3 linked regions of the Drosophila melanogaster genome follow. The protein of the gene in region 1 interacts with the protein of each later gene in a pairwise test. Each region holds a gene or a part of one and is shown in the gene's direction. Other genes may lie near its edges.

Region 1 (4,020 bases):
TATTATTTTATTTATATTATTTATTTACAGTCTTTTGCCCACTGTACCTCCGAAGATCCCTTTTTGAGCGCCTGACTTGCGCGTGTGCGACTTCCCTGCTCTTTAAGTGCGCATGTTCTTGAATTTCAGATGAATATATGTTCGTAAGTCCCATTAGCTGAGGATTGCGGACTAAAACGTCTGTTACAAATGTAATTTCGATATCCCAGTTCCACTCGGGAAAGAAATTGAAGCCCTTCACTTGACTCAGATCGCTGGGCTTCACTTGCCCGCTTATCTGTCGTCTGGGCTGCGGGGACAACCCTTGGAGTGACAATTAGCTGTTGGCCTGGGAAAACATTTCCCACAACTCGGTTCGATTGGGGGAGCCCACATACGTGATATGGTAGAGGGATCTTTCATAGAAGCGAAGCCAACAAGTGCAGGTCCCCGAGAGGGTAATAAAAATATGTCTCCCTATCGCTTCGCTTGTCCCGGGCTAATCGATACTCGATACGATCCATAATTTATGTGCTACGCGTCTATTTCTGGACTTCCGACACTCTCCTATCGCTTGAGGTCTTCGAAAGCTGAAAGTTTTGGCTGAAAAAGATCTGGCTCTGGAATCCCAGCCAGCCGTAATCCCTGTGACCCACTGATGCCAACGCATCGTTGGGCGCGAAATGTGGAAGAGTTGTCAATGCCACGCGGTGTGGCCCCCCGAAGAGCGCGCCAATTTTCACCGCCCGACGTCCCACCAACACGCATAATTTCCCACGCTCCCGGCGGGAAGTGTTGGAATGGGCGGGGAATGGGGGTTGCGTAGCAGGGGGATTCACGAGGGGGAAGTCCTGACAAGTTGTCAGCGGGGCTGTTAATGAGCTGCGTGTGTTGAGTGAAAACGTGATGAATCTACACTGCCTCGGCCCACTTGTGCCTGCCCAGAAATGTGTAAGTAATCCCCGAGTTCTCAAAGATCAGCGAAGATCAAAACAAGATCTTAGATTCCAAGTCATGGAACGCTTAGCATAATAGCTCACCTACTTGTGGGAAAACTTTTAGAAGTGCATTTAATCGTTAGAAATGTTTTACAGTCGTATAAGGTAAATTATTCATCCCATTCAATAAAATACATATTTTGCATAAATTATTGCAATTTTATAGTTTTTTTTTTTGGAAGTTATGTCTCCTTAACTACCCACTGTACTAAAGATCTAAGGAAAATTGACTTTATAACAGAGATAGAGAGTATAAGCTATGTTATACCCCCTTATTTAAAGTCCAAGCTCAGATACCCTGCAGTAAGGGTATGCAAAGTATTGCAATTTGCGCACGAGCAGACAGCGACAACTATTTGATGATCTGGGGATCGGAGCAAAGTTCTCTGGCACACAACATGTGTCGACTCCCCTGCCACGCCCACCGGTACCGCCCCCCGGCCCAGTGTGGCGTTTAATAGCTTGCCTCAGCAGCTTGCCGCAATCGCGTGCACCAATGGTAAGTGGGGATCGAGCGTGGGAAACGCGCCCTTGCCGTAATCCCAAAAAAAGGCCATTTGAAAAGCACAAGTCCCTTCGCAGAAATATCAACAAAAACAAGGCAGCAAATCAGATACTTCAGCTGGCGCGGAAGCCATCGCAGAAAACCAAATAAACAGAAGCCTCCAGAAACAGATTCTCATCGGTTTTGACACCAAATGAAGTTGTATAATAGTCGAGTGCACGGGAAAAAATATTCCAGAACGTGAAGAAATATTTTAATTTTATATATCTTGAATAACATAAAGAATGGTGTTGACAAACACCACAGAACATAAGTTTGTAAATTCATACAAGAGAATTCAACTTGTATCTTAACTTGTAAAATTAGCTATACTTTCAAATAAATATTATATCTCCAATCATTTTTTAAAGTGCAAATCAATTTGTGATTGAGATATAGGCATACAGGGATTGTATGGTCCAATATATCTGGTGTCTTCTGGTTTTCTGTGAATTATTTGGAACTTCCCCAATTCGCGTTCCCTTCGAGCAACCAAGTATCCCAGTAACCAGCAACGTTTACTTTTCCGATTCCTAGGAACCCCAAGTAGGTGTCTTTAGGCCGGCGACAACTTTTGCCATCAGCAAATTTTCCTCAATGAAACACGCATCGTCTGCAGTCGACATCGCTGCTTCGGTTGCGTAAGCTGTCAGAAATCTGAGATGGTTAATGCAAGGTAAGTAAAAAAAATAAAATGCGACTGAATAATACCTCGCAGTATTTAGTACTAAAGACCAAAACAATTGTGAAATACGAAAGATGCAAATTGTGCAAAGTAACTGTAAAGAAAACCAAGGGATTCATATATGGGATGAGCCCATATTTCCGTAAAACTAATATGCCCTGAGCCGTGCTACTTAGGGTGTATCTAAGCTGCCGCTGCTGCTCCAATTCCTTGGGCCATTCAGTCGCTTAAGATCCGAAGGTGGAGCTGGGCCAGGCTTATGATGGCACGTCCCGAGGAGCAGAAGTCTCATGTTGGAGCAAAGTCACGATCTCATCAGTATCGAGAGGTTTTTAAGCCAATGATGGAGAGGAAGAGGCGGTCACGCATCAATCGCTGCCTGGACTTTATTAAGGACCTGCTTCAGGAGGTGTCGCATCTGGTGAGTGGTCTCACGTTGACCTCTGACCCATGGTCTTCTTACTCATCTCAGCTCGTAGCAAAATGATTTTGTATATTGTATCTCTTAAAATTGATACAATATAATATGTTTGAAATGTTTGCATACAGGACGGCGAGACCATGGCCAAAATGGATATGGGAGATGTCCTGGAATTGGCAGTTCACCACCTGAGCAAGAAAAACTGTCCGGTGGCCACGCCCACCACAGCGCCTACATCCGGAGTATATCAGAGCCCAATTGATTGCTATTGGAGTGGCTTTCGAGAATGCGTCCTGGAAGTGTCCCAATTTCTGCAACACAACGGCTATCAGCCGAGTTTCGAATTTGCGAAAGAATTGGATCATCTTGTGGCCTCCACATCCAAATCCAAGCCAAATCTCTGGAGGCCCTGGTAGTCGTCATGGGAAATATCCACTTAAGTTCCTCAACTCACAATTTTTAAATAGGATAATTATAAACTATTTAGACCCAAGTCCACTAAAGACAGTTTTACAATAGAGGCATGAAATAAAACTGCACATTCGTTTTTTGCTTTAAGTTTATCTTTTTCTTTTCGCAATAATTCCAAAAACTTGTTAGGTATGTGGTTTGTGTGTAGAATGTAGAATGTGTGTAGTGTAAGAATGAGTTTCCATTGGGGGTTTAAGTTTAGAATCGTTTTAATTGTTAATAAACATTGCTTAATGCATTCGAATGCTAAATTAAGTATTGCTTATGTTGAATATAATGCACACAAAGTAAGATTTTCATCTGCTGCTATCAGTATCGTTAACGTTATATCAATGTAGTAGCTTACTAGATACCCAAAAAAAAAATACATATCAATAGAGTAGTCGAGAAAAGGTGTTCTTTGAGATTATCCTTAAGCTTATTGGCTTTTTGTTTAGCAAATACGTGTGAGTGAGCATGGGATTTTCTTACAGTCTATGCTGAATTTTTTTGTCGGGACCCTCAAACTTTCCGCCTTTGTATGTACAATACGAGTATATGTATGTAGTTCACAATAATTTCGAGTTTGAGTGTAAGAAGCGCGAAAATTGATTGTTGCTGCAGTTTGTTTTAGTTTGGTTTTCCATCGACCTGCTGATTTGTATCTGTTGCATATATGTATAGGTATACTCAAAGTTTCGTATATTTAGATATCGATATCTTCTCAGCTTCGCTTGATTTACTCAGTTTTTATTTCACTTTTTTTTTTTTGAGGACAGGAAGGCATGCAATTTTGTGCAGTGTAGGTGTGAGTGTCTTCTTAAATTCAAATCGTTTCCAACAATAAATCTATGCAAAAACAATTTGCAAATTGCACAAGTAAAATACAAATGGGGACTTCTATATAATAATAGATGTATATATAATTATCAATATCTGTGTG
Region 2 (5,303 bases), on another chromosome or scaffold:
GATCCTTCTTTTTGTCATCTTTCTTGGCACAAGAGGATTTCTTCTTGGCACAGGGATCTGCCTTCTTCTTGGCACAAGGATCCTTCTTCTTCTTGGCACAGGGATCTGCCTTCTTCTTGGCACAAGGATCCTTCTTCTTCTTGGCGCAGGGATCTGCCTTCTTCTTAGCACATGGATCCTTCTTCTTCTTGGCACAGGGATCTGCCTTCTTTTTGGCACAGGGATCTGCCTTCTTCTTGGCACAGGGATCCTTTTTCTTGGCGCACGGATCCTTCTTCTCGCCAGACTTGAACTTAGCACAAGGGTCCTTTTTCTTAGTGTCCTTCTTGCCACACGGATCCTTCTTCTTATCCTTGCCGCAAGCACTCTTTCCGCCGCCCTTTCCCTTGCACGTGATCTCAGTGGTCTTCAACGCCTTCTTTTTGGGTGCCTTCTTCTTTGCAGGCCGCTCGCAGGGATCCTCCTTGCAGGGATCTGTGATTAGAGGACACTTTCCAGGACATTTGCGCTTGGGTTTCACGGGCGGATGCTTGCAGCCGTCTTTGTCCACCGGAACTGGCACCTCTTGCTCCTGAATGCCGGGCATGGCACACGCTTCCTCGGCTATCTTCTGCAGGGATTCCCGCACTTGACCAACTTGATTAGCCGCCGACATATGGGAAGTATCGATGATCCTATTAGGAATAGTCTCCTCATCCTTGGTCAGTTCCAGGTCCGCGATGTAGGTATCTGAGGATTTTCCTGCGAAACCTTTCTCCAAGGCGGTACTGCAAAGGTTGGCAGCCAGCGAGGTGAGGTCATCGTTGAAGCCGGGCATTTTGTCCTCCGTTATCTGGGCGGGGCTCAACTTCTGGGTATCGATCTCCACTACGCCCGAGATCAAGGCGTTGAACCTAAGCGGCAGCGTTTTCTCCACAGTGCCAGGCGCATCCAATTCCACCTTTGTGTGCATACAGATCATGGGATCCTGTGGAGTTACTGCATTCTTGTCCTTGCTTTCCAGAGCCTGCCGCAGATTGGTCATATCCATTTCGAAGGACAGCTCCATCGACGAAACGGCCATATCGTTGAGGCGATTGCTCAAATCCTGCGGCACATCCACTCGCACCTCCTCGACGAAGTCGCTCTCTTGGTTGGCGAGCTCTTGGAGATTAGATGCCTTGGTTGAGCCATGGATGGGTTCCGTCTGGGCCATGGCCGACATGGATTTGGTGGTTTTCAGAGCAGAGTTGATAGCTGAGTTACCCACAGCGTTTTGCAGGCAACTATTGACTGCCGTCTGGCGTTGCATTGGCATGTTGGCACCCTGACCCGCATCCAGTGCGGTTCCCACAGCGTCCGCCGTTGGCGTGGATGGGAAGGCCTCCCAAAATTTGCGGTCCTCGGCACTCGCCCCGGCCTTGACTTCTTGGGGCTGACCGCCCGATTCCACTTCCTGCAGGGCCTCGTTCAAGGCACCGTATTCCTCGACCATGCTGTTGGAGAAGGTCTCGATGTGGTTGGCGTACAAGCGCAACTTGTTGATGGTTTCCAGCGTGTCCTTGAGTTCGTTGCCATCCATGCCAGACAGATCCAAGGGCACAATGACTATCTTCAGATCCTTGCCATCACCCGTTTCCGGTGTAATCAGTCCAATGGGCATGATCTTGGGCGCATTGCTCGAGTTGCCGGAAAAGCTAATCCGTTTGCGCAGCATATCCACGTTATCGCTGACCGAGAACACATTGCTACCCTTTTGGGAGTACCTCTGCACCCGGACGCGACACGGATGATTCGTCCTCCGGCTAGACTTTGATCCGGAGGAGGCACTGGTGCATAGTTGCCTCAACCGTTCTGCATGGAGTAGGCTGCGCGGTCGGTATAGCGGAGCATGGTAGCTAACGCATCTAGATATCTGGAGGAGATTAAGTCCGAGACGGTTAGTCGGGAACTTCCCGAATATGCCTGGCATTTTTTCTTTTTATGTACAAATTTTTGACTTGATTCAGGAATACATAAGTTAACACACGGTAGAATTTCAGTTTTGAGAAAGGAAAGAAACCAAAATGTTGTGTAGTGTAAGACGTAGCAAGGAAAAATGGTGTAAAAGCTAACCAAATGTCTAACGTAAAAGTAAAGGGCCTACTGATTTTAGGTTTTAGCCTTAATTCAAATGTACTGTACCTGTAAAATGTTGGTTACTCTGCCAAATAAGCGCATACTACTTAATTTTTCACTTGTGCTGAAAGGCCAAAAACTAAAAACTTTGAATTTTGAATTTTGGTGGAATTTTTTTTGTAGGTTTACAAAAGGTTGTGTACTAGCACTGGGCTATGTTTTCAGACTGGGCCAGTAAGCCAAACGAGATTATGAACTAAAATTCGCTAGCCTACTGCTTTCCCGAAATTTCTATAAGATTCCACAATCGATTCGTTTGGCAAGTCCTTGAAAATAAGGAAGATTACTGCAACCTATTTGCTGCAGATATAATCCCATAAATGCTGTCACTCCAAAAACTCGAAGAACCGACTTTTTTGGGGGCCTCTAAATGCATTTTGAATTAAATTTAGGTACCACAATTGCCCCTACCGTTGCTGCATATTAATTGATTCACTAGTCACCTGGTCACCCACTCAATCAATTGGTGCCTCAGTTCGATTTCTGATTTTGCTGGCAGCGGTTTCAGTTTCTGTTTCGGTTCGGTTTTAGTTTCGATTTCTAGCCAAGAGCTAGATCCGTGATTCCATTGACAATGTTGCGATTGGCCAGCTCCACACTTAGTAGTTCCATATGTCTTATTGTGTTTTTTAATGTAAGCAAACACTTGGCATTGCCGATAATTAGGGAACTTGGCGATGTCTAAATTCATAATGTGGGTTTTTTTTAAACAAATAAGTGACTCATGAGCTAACTATTCAAGAAAATGGTGTAGGTCATGAATAGAGTATAGAGTTTGGTTGCACATTAGGGATCACCTTCGTATACAAGGTATAACCACACAAAGCTTTGCTTAAAACTTTAAACTATAATCTCTGGCTATTAGTAAGAATATAATCAGACCCTCTTCCGATCGGACCCTATGACTTTTTGAAGCAACCACCATACACCCAGAAAAATTAAGAACGTCACTCAGTGGCATTTATCATAAATCATGAGAAGATTTCTTCTTGATTTCGAGACGAAAACGATCTCAATTTTAATATTTTCAGAGGGAAGAAGTATCAGGTTTATGATTGTGTAAAAGGAACGTAATGGAAAGACTGACAAAATGAGAGCAAAGTCAATTGTAATCTAAGAATGGATCGATCTCTATCGAAGCATAATTCAATCTTGGCAGAATTTTGAGATCAAAATTTTCAAATCGAGATCTTTGAGAACGGTTTTTTCTCTAAGTGTATAGATGGGCACATATCATAACTTAGAAACCTCATCTTTGATTTGTAAAGCAGCCATATCTTATTCAACCAAATTCAAGGTCCAGTGACGCGTGCGCGTTGGGATTTGAATATAGAAAGCCTTATTACCGGTCATACTCAATATTCATTAACGTACGTGCAGCCGGTCATTAAGCGCCAATTATAGATTCCATTTCTCCGAATGTATCTGCAGTTTTTGTGGCTGCTACTGCTGACGACGACGACGACGACGACGTCCGCCAAGCCCACCAACTCCAGTGATTCTGGCACCAAGAATGGAATGCTGCATGTGACCAGCTTTGTGAACCAGAAGCCCAAGTCGGGAGTACGTGAAGAGTTCGATTTCGAGCAGAATGAGGCGGAGGCCACCAACTCGGCGCATCTGCAACAGCTCTTCGGCAGTTTGTTGCAACTGCCTGGTAAGGGAAACATGAGTCTGGAGCTGTCCCTGGAGACGGACGACGATCCGGTCAGCGAGCGAAACCAGCTGGATGATGAGATGAAGGCCACTGGCGAGCAGCATGAGGGCTTCACCGAAACTGCGGATGCATGGCATCGCATTAAGCTAAATATTCCGGTCCTGGAGCCGGTGAAGCACCTGATAAACACAGTTGGCGGTGGCGGCGTGAACGACTCCCATGTGAAGAGCAATACTCATCGGCTGATTGGACACCATGGCGTCCACGAAACTCACCACAATGGCGGGAACATCAGCTCCCCGGCCATCGAAACGGAGGAGGATCGGGAGACAGCCATCGACAGCACCGGATTCGATGTTCTGGAAACGTTGGGCAGCGCGGGAACGGTTCTGTTCAGCATCTTGCAGAATCTTCGCAAGGTGTTTGCCGCTAGCGCTGGAAGTGCAAGTTCCGCATCCTCGGGGGGCGGCGGCGGTGGAGCAAACTAGTGGACTTTCTCGGAGATTATGTTCTGTGATTAATATAAGTCTTGTGCAAATTCGGATTTCCCTTGATTCTTACTAATTAAATAAACGAAATGTTATGAAAATGGAGAAATTAATATTTCGATTTTGGGAAATAGATTTTGCCACTACCCCAAAAAAGACTTGCAGTTGGATTTTATAAAATATTTTACTGTCTTAATTCTGGTTTTTTATACGATACTCTTAAGTAGCCTACATGAACTCATAGTTTCCGTCGTCAAAGTTGCGATTGCCGACCATTGGACCGCCTGCTCCCATTTGATTGGGATTCTGGCCACCCATTTGCGGCCGGAACTGATTGCCTGGCGTGGTCTGGTGCTGCAAGAGCTGGCGCAGCCCCGGGTTGTTGTTGCTCATCATGGGACGCACCATGCGCTGCTGCTGCTGTTGCGCCTGCTGCTGCTGCATTGCGGCGACGTTTGGCGCCACTTGTTGCAACTGCTGCTGGAGGTTTGGATTGGGCACGCCACCGGGACCAACACCCACGCCAACACCTACGCCCAGTGGCATTCGCTGTTGCTGCATCATGTTCATCTGCATTTGATTCTGTTGCATGGGCATGCCGCCGGGACCGGGACCAGGTCCGCCGCCAGGACCTCCACCACCCATCTGCATATTGAGTTGGAACTGGTTGTAGTGTTGCTGCTGCGAGTTATCCTGTTGCATCTGTTGCTGCTGTTGTTGTTGTTGCTGTTGCTGCTGCAGCTCCATGGGCGACTTGCCTTGCTGCTGCATCATTTGCTGCTGTTGCTGCTGCTGTTGCATGTTGCCGTGCTGCTTTTGCTGTATGACTTTGCGCAGACGTTCCACAAACATTGCCTGATTATTGGGAATGAAGCCCAGAAAAGCGTTGCGATCGGGCGTGTAGAGTAGGATGAGAACCTTAAGGTCACAGGCTGGTGAGTTGGGGATGGAGGAGAAGTGGACGCAGCCAGCATAGCCGGAGGTCATCATCTTGGCCAGCG
Region 3 (4,900 bases), on another chromosome or scaffold:
AGAAAACAAAACAGAACAGAAGCCACCCATAAATGCAGAATGGGGAACCACATGTGAAGTGTCCTGGCTTTGACTTTGACTTGAGGTGCATCCTCCAAAGTGCGCCAAAGTGAAATGCATTTCAGCAACAATTGTTGCCAGCTGTAAATAAACACGACTTGCCATGCCACGCCCCCTCTGACATGGCTGGCAAACAAAAAAAAAACAAAAACAAACACTGCAATGATAATAAGGTATATAATTTAATATCAATCTGACAGCCAAACACACACACAGAAGGCAACAAAGTGCCCCTGTGATGAGAACGATGCAACGTTTTATGCTGCAATTTCTGTTGTATCCGTTCTGGAAAGGTAAATACCCTATAATGGCTGCTACCGATTGGCAATACGTTGGATACAATGCAGAGACTTTGGGAAATTAATCCGAAAATGGAAAAACTGAGACTCACTTCCAGTGAGTACATACACGAATGTGTGTACGTGACCTTGTCATCGAAGTTAAGAATATTTAATGCTTTAACAACATTTTCAATTCAAAATAAATCAAAGAACGAAGAAAATTTAATTTTCAACAACTACATTTAAATTGGATATTATTTCAAAATCAACAAATTCTATCAAATCTTTGATTTGCGATTTTCAAACGATACTTATTTCCATGCCATTTCTTTTTAATTAATACAATATATTGTGTTTGCCAAATATACCATTTGTTTTTATCCATTTACCAATTAGAGCGAACTCTTGATAGTAGCTAAACTGTATTGATAAGGATAATCTAGAGTAAGCATATTAAGGCATTCCTTCATAATTATTATCCTTAAGAATAGGGTATCCTTTCATCACTCTCGTCTTGAAACTCGCTCTTCTGGGTGCTGCTTCCTTGTAATTTTTTCCTGCCGTCTTTTTCGTTGTTCGTGTGCTGCACATGCCCCGCCGCACTTCAGTTTTATACGTATACCTATAGATATGGGTGGTACATACATATATATGCATTGTCTGACTGTCTGGGGTACTCAAATGCCACTCTTTCGATGCGATGCGTTTCTTCCCTTGGATCCCACTTTGCTCCTTTTCACTTTTTTTTTCTATTTTGTTTGCTAACTAAATAAATGCAGTTTGTGTGTGCGCCTGCACTTGTTGTTTGTGTTGAGCCAAGCAGAACATTTCCATTTGAATGTTCTTTTAAGCGAAAACAATTCTTTTCTTTGTTTTGCCTTTGAGAATGTGAGTGAGTTTTGCAGGTACACGAGTATATGTAAGTGATTTGGCGAGCCCCGCTGATTTTGCTCGAGTGTTTAGCAAATTAGATCATGGATTTTTCCTCTGATTTCTCGGGGTTATCATCGCGGGGATATCATTTTTGGTACCCCGCCCACTCACCTGCACGCCCACGAAGGTGATTTTCTTTTGTTATGCATTCTTTCGTAGATTTCTTCGGTTGGGTTTTTATTTTACGTTTTTTATGCAGCAACTATAAAAAAGTTTTTACATTTTTTACGGCACTTATTTCAGCTTTCTCTCTTATTCAGCACTGCTCCAAACCCATTTTATTCTGTGGGTAACAAAAGAAGTTTTTTGACGGCGAGTGCATTATATTTTGGACTTACGGCGAGAAGTTGATTATGTTGATTTGTGGAATTGATTTGTCGGAGGGTAAAAAGGATTCAACAGACACTCCTTTACTCTATAAAAATTCCTGGCATGCGGTTCACAAAATGTTAACCGATTGTTCTTGCGGTCATAGGGAGTTGTAGGATGGTAAATTGATTTTCTTCAAGTACAAGAATAGTCGGGTGAGGAATTTTAAGTCTTGTTTAGTACTTATATAGTACGAATTCTTGCAAAGCTTGGATGTAAATGTTACAATTTTATTGTCATATTTTATAAATGCTTACTAAGTTGGAAAAAATTTTCTATATTTAATTTGTATCAACAATTAAAACTCTTGGCAAAGAAACGCAAAAAAAACAGGAAAAATAAGCCAAACAGGAAATTGGTCAAGGTCACGTCTAAGCCAAGGCAAGAAAAGTGAAGAAAAGGCAAAGCAAAGCAAAATCTCACATCGAATTTTTGTATAAGCCATTCGACTACTTCCCCTTTGCTGTTCGAAAATTCAGAAATTTAAAATTTGCATATGTTAGCTTTAAAAAGAAATATATATCATTCTACCATTTCTTTGTTATAAAATTAGCTTTAATGAAAATAATTTATCTTAGGTACTTCTAGCTCGACTTCCTAAAAATAAATTCTTTCCCCTTAAATTTGTTTTGTTTCATTTTCGAAAACTTTCCTGTCCTGGTTCGAAAAACGTAGGAAAACCACCCCATATAAATTCGAGCTTCAAACGTAACGGCGGGGTAAGTAACGTAATGGTAAAACGTATGTAACATGCCACAAGTGTGACGCTCTCTGCATTTTGTTTGAGGAAACGTTTACTGCACGTGATGAAAGTTGATATTGTCATCACAGAGAGGGCGACAGAGAGAGAGAGAGAAAGAGAGAAAGAGAGAGGTAGGAAAAAAGGGAGGGAAGATGGTAAAGAGAAAGCGGGCACAGAGGGTAGCTAATTCTCCCGCCGTTTCCCGGGTATAAATACGGGCGTCCTGCTGGCTGAGCTCTTCAGTCGTACGACAACTCGCCAAGAGTTCAGATCTGGAAAATCAGGAAATACCTTGCCACACATCGAAGTTAACAAGTGCCATTTTTACGTAACATTTTGAGCGACTCAAATATGGCCATTCCATTTTTCGAAGAAGAGCACGCCCCGAAATCGGAACCCAGTGGCGATCAAGTCGATAGCCCCATGGCTTTCTCCATAGACCCCGGACATGATCAAGTGGACTTTGAAGGACCTCCGTCTGCAGCAGAGGAACTCCCGCCACCAGGAGCAACAAGTGAGCCAGTTGCGCCTCCGAGTGCCGAGGAGCAACTGCTGGCCTGGAAATTCCTGGCCATCACCATGTGCAAGGTCCTGAAGCAATTTTACCAACAGCACAAGTCGTCCGGAAAATCCAGCAAACTAAAGGCCACCGTTCAAATACAACCGCAGGCGCAGTAAAAATTTCGAAAACCAACTTAAGCACCAACTAAGGCTCCTAAAAGCGCAACTTGTGATTACTTTACGTTGGTGAGAACTAGCGCAGCCCGAAAATTTCGAGAGAGAATGAGCGAGACAGTGACAGAGAAATGTGAATCAATTTCCCAAGGAAAACCCTAAAACAAGATTAACTTTTGATACATGTATTTTCTTTGCTGGAAATTAAGCACATAGTTTCTTATCCGTCGGGATACAACAAAATTTTAAAACTTTGGATAAGCGCAAATGTGATAAATAATTTTGCTAAAAAAATTTACAGTCCAAGTATTTGTTTAGTAAACTTATTTAAGTTAGTTTTACTTGTTTAACTGAATAAGTTAGATTCTCGTAGGTGGTCGGCCCAGTGCAAGAATAAGTGAACGAAAAATCCAAACATTCATATATTGGAAAATTGTCTCAAGAGATAAAAGCAAAATTTTGTAAGCAGTCGCTAGTTTTCAAATCGAAACCAACTTAGTTGATAAGTCAAACTATTCTACATGCTATAACTACAAATAGTTACAACTTTTTTACCAACAACTCTCTTGGTGTCTATTTATGGGGAAATTTAAATGATTCAACTTCCTAGGTAGAGTGCTTCTTAAACTTAGCAAATATATATGGAAATATATTTTTTAAAATTGAAACATATTTTTATATTTACTTTGCCGTCGATATATAAGCTGTGTACGTGTCAATCTAGTTTATAGATCTATTCTTATAAGCAATATGTGGCTAAGATTCCATGCGAAATAAATCGATGAAAAGGCGTTCTTCGCGTAACGAGCATAAACATAGTACAAGTTCAAAAGTAGAAATATTTACACACATAAATACTCCAAACTACACATTCTTTTAAGCAATTTAATGTAACTTAAGCTAAGTAAAGCAAATGGCATGAAATAAAAATATTATTGAATGGAAAAATACGCATTTTTAACTAGTGATGGGATGAACAATTCAAAAACGTTTATTTTCAGATTTTGGTCTGTTTGTGGTTTAGCAAAACAAACCCAAAGAATATTACATTTTATCGTCTAGAGTTTAATTCATATATAATTTTTATAACAAATGGAGCCTAACACAGCGAAAAACAAGACAACGAAATGTTAAGTGTAAATGTAAAATCATTTACAGTGAAATGTATAGTACTTGCTAATTTACCCAGAACTTTCGCTCCGTTGCTAGTCATAATAGACCTAATCATCGTTGATAATACTTTGCCACCTTGAAATGAGTGCCACTTTTACCCCTCAACCAAACAGATTGAAATGGTTACCGGCGGCAGAGATCAAAGTCGTTTTCTCACACAAACGACACTGAATAATTCCTGAAATTCTCTCATTCCGGTTTTCCGGACTCATACAATCGATGCTAAAAAATGTCGCGTGGCGCCACCCGACTGATTTTAAAATCTGCCTTTGGGCGAGGCTTGAAAAAAAGAGACTACTGAAATCTTTCAACTTTCCATTTTTAATACGCTTTGTATGGCGAATAATACGGGGAAAAGGATGCTGATGCTAAGCCGCTTTTTAATTTTCCAAAATCCAAATAGAAGATTCTTTTAAGCGCCGTCCACCATCAATCAATGAACGGACGGATCCATAATAATATCAATCAAGGCAAGAACTGGCAAAGAACAAATACCATTTGCCAAATAAACTGTTCCCCAGCCCCTGAAGATGATTTTAAAATTTTTTGATATTTTTCTTCCAGGCAGATAAGCAGAAGCCAAAGGATTTCCTTCTTTTTTTTGAAAATGCGCATTATGAGGACGGTTAACTGTCTGAATTCAATCAAATGTCCCCCCGGGAATTTG

What was found.
Region 2: the proteins of Hesr (region 1) and CG17190 interact in a two-hybrid assay, tested with the Drosophila melanogaster proteins (one large-scale study listed by BioGRID).
Region 3: the proteins of Hesr (region 1) and skl interact in a two-hybrid assay, tested with the Drosophila melanogaster proteins (one large-scale study listed by BioGRID).

Annotation. Positions count from the first base shown.
Region 1 is NC_004354.4:18,203,566-18,207,585, reverse strand, and holds Hesr (HES-related), read left to right. Parts: upstream 1-2,441; 5' UTR 2,442-2,465; coding exon 2,466-2,627; intron 2,628-2,755; coding exon 2,756-3,043; 3' UTR 3,044-3,183; downstream 3,184-4,020.
Region 2 is NT_033777.3:20,010,879-20,016,181, reverse strand, and holds CG17190 (uncharacterized protein), read left to right. Parts: upstream 1-2,677; 5' UTR 2,678-2,731; coding exon 2,732-2,791; intron 2,792-3,588; coding exon 3,589-4,302; 3' UTR 4,303-4,406; downstream 4,407-5,303. Other genes in the region: CG4836 (uncharacterized protein), read right to left, coding at 1-1,951; MED25 (mediator complex subunit 25), read right to left, coding at 4,531-5,303.
Region 3 is NT_037436.4:18,437,664-18,442,563, reverse strand, and holds skl (sickle), read left to right. Parts: upstream 1-2,621; 5' UTR 2,622-2,736; coding exon 2,737-3,063; 3' UTR 3,064-4,003; downstream 4,004-4,900.